Linked DNA regions of Canis lupus familiaris. Each later gene encodes a partner of the first gene's protein in a complex. Links are inferred from orthologs where the notes say so. Each region holds a gene or a part of one and is shown on either strand. Other genes may lie near its edges.

Region 1 (2,804 bases):
TGTCCATGCAGTGGGCTGGCCCCCATGGCCCCAGACTGTCTTGCATGCTGGTAGACGTCCCCAGTTCCTGTCTCCCCTTCCTCTGGCCCAGCCCCCAGCCCTATCCATCCTCACTGGACACCTACTCACAAATCCTGACAGGGGAAGGCAGCTGCAGGAATGCCCTGGGGGCGCAGTTGAAAGGAGAGTCTCAGACAGGTCTGGGAATCACAGTCAGAAAGAAGCTCATGGAAGGTCTTGGGTCCCAGGCAGCCTGACAGCTGGTCTTGGGTATTAGGGGCAGGACAGAGAGCTCACTCTACAACCACAGTTGTCCTTTAAAGACTGCCATCTCCCACCCCTTGTCCCTGTGTGCTGTGAGCCCCCACGAGTTCCCCGCTGACCACTCAATACCCCTGTCCCCAGCCCTCCAGCCACAGTTTTTGGCTATAAACTGTCACAATATACATTGGTAATAAAATTCCCCCCCAACTCTTGTCAGCTGTGATTGACTACAAGCAGAAGGGGACCGAGCTGCATAATTTATCCTTGTGTTCAGAAAAGGGTCGGTGTAGTTTGGGGTGACAAGACATCCTCCAAGGTGGACCAGAAGAGTGGGGGCCCATGTGGCGCTCTGCAGCAAAGGTCCTGTGGCAGGGACATCAGAGGTCTGTGGTGTCCAGGCCAGCATTGGTGAAGGACAGCTTCTCCTGCTGTCCACCTGTGCCCGTCTTCCTTCCTGACAGCACCACACTCAGAGGTTCCCCATCTTGCTCTGTCGGACTGTGTGTGGGCTCCTTCTGTGGGGAAGACGGAAGATGTGAAGATGTGCAGGGCGGGGATGGGGTGATTTCCCCAGTCCATAGGGGCATGGGGGTGGGCCTTCAAGCCCATGGCATATGGTTCCTTAACTGGGGTCCCACCTGCTCTTCCTGGGGCCTCAGTTTCCTAGCTGTGTCCCAGAGGTGGCCATGGCCACTAATAGTGCAGATGGGCTCAGCTGAGGGGGTGGGCTTGAGGGGGGGTCCACTCTGGCCTTTGCCTTGATCCACGGACACAGCAGGACTTTGGTGCTCTTCCCAGTCCTGAATAATACCAGACTGTCCTGTGCCATGGAGTCAGTCCAATCCAATTCCTGCCGCCTGCACCTGAGGCAGGCACTGTGCTGGGTGCAGTCTATCCGTTACCTAAAGTACCCACAGGAACCCGCTGAGGGAGGGATCATATACCCCACATTACAGATGTGGAAACTGAGGCTCAGAGGGCTCTCATGGCTAGGAAGAGGCAGAGCAAGTTTTGGATCACTGGTCCTGTTGGCTCTAAAGACTGTTGATTGCTGCCCTGGTTGAATTTGGCATCTCCCTCTGCCACCCTCAGAGGGACGCATCACTCCCAGGGCCCCACTTGCAGTTTATCATGGCACACACTCATCTTCCTGCCTTTCCTCTTCCCTTCCCCATGCAACTGGCCACATGCTCACACCTCCTCACAAGTACACCCTCCTGGGCAGCCCCAGTGGCACAGCGGTTTAGTGCCGCCTGCAGCCCGGGGTGTGATCCTGGAGACCCGGGATCGAGTCCCATGTCGGGCTCCCTGCATGGAGCCTGCTTCTCCCTCTGCCTGTCTCTGCCTCTCTCTCTCTCTCTCTCTGAATAAATAAATACAAAATCTTAAAAAAAAAAAAAAAAAAAAAGTACACCCTCCTGTGGACCATCCCCCAGGCTCAGCTACACCAACACAGAAACACCTAGGGGACAGAGCCCCAGCCGCCATCCTCTCCAGGGCATTCCACGGGCTTTTTCCAGACTAGGGCTCTTCTGGTCCCTGGTAAACTGGAACATCTGAGGGGCCCCAGGAAGGACGAATCAGGGCTCCCCAGGGTCCGCACCATAGGCTCCCCAGTGGTAGCTGTTGGTGCAGCATAGCCTAGGAAAATTCAACCTGCCCTTGGAGACAGGAGACCTGAGTTCTGATCTGCCCTTGCCTTGTAAGCTTTCTGACCTCAGGCAGGTCAGAACCCAGAGCCTTCTGGCCTTTGTTGCTTGTGAAGATTGGATTAGATCACCGGTCAGTTGTCTCAGACCTTCCACACATTTATGGAGGTCTTGGGTGAGTCAGGGCACCAAGAGATCCTTGAAAAAAGGCCCCACCTGTGTTCCTCACCCAGAGACCCCAAGGCCCACCTACTGTTAGAGGAGAGGCAGCAGAGCCTTGGGCAGGTTCTCTGAAATATAGCAACCCCTCTATCATCCTAGGACAGGCTCTTTTCTGGTTTTTGAAGGCTCTCAGTGGCCCAGCCTCTCTTCCTCTCCAGACTCTTCTCCCAGGCTCTCTACCCCTCCCAACTTACAAGTCCAGCCCCACCTGAGGCCCCCAACTCCACTCCCCAAGAGTCAGCCTTGGCCTCCACTGGGGGCTACCTGCCTGGCCACAAGTTCTAACTCTTCTTCCTCAGTTCCCCCAGACATTCATTGGAGTTTTTCCCCAAAGCATCTTCAACCAGAGATAAGCCATCCACTCAAAGGCCTTCAGCACTGCTTGGTGTCCTGGATTGCCATCCATGACCCTAACCTTTGGGGGCCCATTTGGAGGCCTCAATGTCACTGCCAGATCCCTGTGCACCATTCCCACATACCCCCCACCCCCTGCTGATCTACTCCCTGGTTCTCTATCCTCGCATTAGAACCCCAAGAGTTTTAACAACATGCTCGAGCCCAGGCCCATCCTACCCATTGGGTCAGAATTTCTAGGCTGGGATGCTTCATGGGCATGTGAGGCTGTGGCTGTGTGAACTGTTGATTTACTCAAACCATCTAACCTACTGA
Region 2 (3,500 bases), on another chromosome or scaffold:
CAACCACATCTTCCTCCCACCCCACTTCATCCTCATCCCAAGGCAGATCATCGTCATGATTGTTTTCCTCTCCCTCTTTATCTGCCTCAGCTTCATCAACCTCAGCTGCTCCTTGTCCCTGAAGCAATTCACTGCACATTTTAAACTCCAACCCCCTTTTGATGTCTGACATGTCTTCGGGACTTGATATTTTGTTCTTTCTAAAAACAATATTTCCTAGACCTGGACGGTTGAGAATGGATTCATGTTGCACACATCCATCATCCTCTGCTGAGAACTGGGGCTTCTCTTGGAAGTCCCCTGAGAATGCATCTTCTTCCTCTTCTCTGAACACTTCCATCACATTCCTCTGCCCACTTCTGCTCTCTTTCCCTACCTGCTCTGCTGTATCTTTGTTCTTCTTGAGCTTTAACTTGAAGGTATCTTTAATGCCCTTAGACAGTGACCCAAATGTACCAGAAGCAGAAGCATTTGCAAGGGATGACCTGGAGAATGTGCCATTGGAAGAAGAAAGAGTCCCAGATTCTTCCTTGCTATAGTTGCGAGCCATTTTATTTTGGTGCTTCTCCTGGAGCCTCTCACATTCTTTGATCTGCCTCCTAGCATTTTTCTGAGCCTGCTCCTTCAGCCTGGTAACTTTCTTGGGGTTCATGATATTCTGGGTAGTGGCAGCCTTATCCAGGAGAGCAACACATTCATTTTGTTCTCTGCTGGCAGCCGCATCCAGCGGAGACTGTAAGCTGTTGTCCAGGGCAAAAATGTTGGCACCAAAGTTAACCAGGAATGAAACACAGTGGGTATGACCATTGGAAGCTGCATAATGTAGAGGAGTATTTCCCCAGATGTCACATCTATTGGGATCCCCTCTAGAAGAGAAAATACCAAAAATATATATAAAAACATTTTTTTCTTAGAACATGGGGTCCAAAACAAAACAAAACTGAACAAAATACATTTTAATTAATCCTGCCTTAGCATTCTAAAACTTCTGAAAGTCCAGATATGTCACATCTATCTAGACATCACATGATCAGAAACAAAAGCTCATCCCCTTTTGTCTCCTTTTTAGAAGAAAAGCTTTCCAAGAACACCCTCAAAAAGCAACTTTCATGTCTCATTGTCCGCAATCGATCATGCCTATAAGAAGAGAAATAGAGCTATCATTTTAAATTTAAGTTGATTACTCTGCAGCTAGGAATAAGATTACGTAGTGGTATGCTGGTAAATGCTTAACAACTGGTGAAAAGATCGAAGTTCTGATTTATAGCATGTGCCAATATTTGTGTTATAAATACACCCACCATGACAAAATTCAAGGTACTAATGTGATAAGACAGGACATGGAATTTGGAAGAGATGTCCAAAAGCATACCTTTATAAATTATTTCCACCATATATGTAGATATAATAGATATGCAAAACTTTAAGAGTATAGATAACAGTAAAATGTACTCAAATAATTAGGAAGTGATAATTTTTGAGTATTTAAAAATATAATTTGTTAAGTCATAAGTTTAAATACCTTTATTTTTAATAATGACTGTTTAATGGACTCTCAGACTTCCTGAAAATTTAGCAATCACATCTCATAAACTGGTAAGAGCTGTTTCCTACTCTAACACTGGAGTCACATGTAGGAAAATAAATAATAATAAACAAAACTAGGTTACCACCAGCAAAAAAAAAGAGAGGGGAATGGATGTTAGGTAGGTAGCAAACTGTGTCTGATATAACCATTATTCATATAAAGAGTAGAACATCTCCATTGATTCTCCAACTCACTTCCATGCAATTACAATGTCATATATGTGAATAGTTCTGCAATAGTTTATGGTGGAATTGAGGGCATTGTTAGATGGTTTTAAGACTGGAGACCCCATGGCAGCATAGAAACTGGCTCATGGTTGATGCTTAGTAAGCATTCCTGAGATGAATGAATGCCTAATGAAGTCTTGCCCCAGACTACAACCCCAGCCCTCCTGTAAGATGTTGAGTTACAAATAGGCACAAACAGAAAGTAAAGAAGTAACTTATTGTTAATATGACTCTGGCCCCAAGCCCAAACCACTGCTGAGAACTCTGCTAATACAGGTGCTAAAGGGCATCTTCCCTCACCCTAGACTAGACTCCCAAATCAGGATCTCACTAAACTTCCCCCAGGCTGGCCCATGGAAGGACAGGAGAGAGGGTCTGAGAAAGCCTTTTGACATTCTTGGGGAGATGATTCGTGCCCTTGCAACTACTACATCAAGGCTCTGTGACCCTTCCACTATTCTGTGCTACTCAAAGTTTGGTCTCTGGATTAGTAGTAGCAGTGGCAGCTGCTAGTTTGCTAGAAATGTGAAGTCTTGGACTCCAGCCCAGATGTCCTGAATCAGAATCTGAAGTTTAACAAGATCCCAAGGTGGTATATAGGCTCATTGCAGATTGAGAAGAGCTGCACTGGTTAATGTGGCCCAACCAGTGTCCAATAATTTGATGAGTCAGATTTGTAATTCTTCTCTAGGAACCCCTAATCTCCTCTCATTTTTTCAATTGTGAAGTATCTATACATTCAGTACCATCACCACCAACAACCATCATCATCTCCTTCTTAGAGAAAGACCAGGATAATTATCAGAGGGGTAAAATAAGGCTCCAAGTACTTAACTGATTTGTCCACTGTTGCACAGGGAGCACACTTTGGATCAGGCCTGCCTCCAAGTCTAATAGTCTCCAATACAATACAGCCTTACCTTAACACACCTCAGTTTTTCTACTTCACCAGCTATGAGGCCTCAAGTTTAACTTTCATAGGACTCAGTGTCCTCATCTGTATGAGTATGAGAATAGTTTTTATGGAATTGTTATGTGAATAAGTTGACATAAAGCACTAGAAAAGTGCTTGATACATAGTAAATCTTCAATAAACATTGTTATCATTTCCCTTGTCTCTAAACTCATAATCCTTAATTTCATATCTTTGTTTTTTTCTCACACCCATCTAATAAATTCCCATAGTGCTATAATAGCTCCTGCAACTTTTTAACACTTAAAATCTTACTTAATCTGTTCAACCTTTATGCACCAACCTCCCTGATTAGATAACATGACTCAAAGGGCCAAGCCTATGTCTTTTTGTCCTTTGTATCATATCTCCTAGCAGAAGTCTCAGTCTTAACCTAAAGAAACCAAGCAGGTAAGTAAGTAACTAAATGGAGCCAAAGTCATAGTTGAGTACAAGTTCCAACAGAAAAGAAGAGCTGTCACTCTGTAGCAACTGACTGCCACCTCAAATAAAAGCAGACACAATATAGTGAGAGCTTCCATTTTCCAAACAGAGCCAGAAATCCACAGTCTCATGTGGGATTTTTTGATTTTTAGATGTTGGCTTGAATTTAAAAGAAAAATACAGTGAAGTCCAAATAAAACATATTTGTGGACTAGATCCAGCCCATAAGCTGGTAGTTGGCAACTTCATTCTGAGCAGAGAACAGCATGAACAGATGCACATATGGGTG

What was found.
Region 2: CDHR2 (region 1) and ANKS4B share a complex: the UniProt entries of both Homo sapiens proteins name them as parts of the IMAC/intermicrovillar adhesion complex. The link is inferred for Canis lupus familiaris from reciprocal best matches to the Homo sapiens genes CDHR2 and ANKS4B.

The regions. Positions count from the first base shown.
Region 1 is NC_049225.1:37,628,342-37,631,145, forward strand, and holds the end of CDHR2 (cadherin-related family member 2), read right to left. Parts: intron 780-2,804; coding exon 642-779; 3' UTR 501-641; downstream 1-500. UniProt on the Homo sapiens protein: Intermicrovillar adhesion molecule that forms, via its extracellular domain, calcium-dependent heterophilic complexes with CDHR5 on adjacent microvilli. Thereby, controls the packing of microvilli at the apical membrane of epithelial cells.
Region 2 is NC_049227.1:24,443,724-24,447,223, forward strand, and holds part of ANKS4B (ankyrin repeat and SAM domain-containing protein 4B), read right to left. Parts: intron 867-3,500; coding exon 1-866. UniProt on the Homo sapiens protein: As part of the intermicrovillar adhesion complex/IMAC plays a role in epithelial brush border differentiation, controlling microvilli organization and length. Plays a role in assembly of the complex.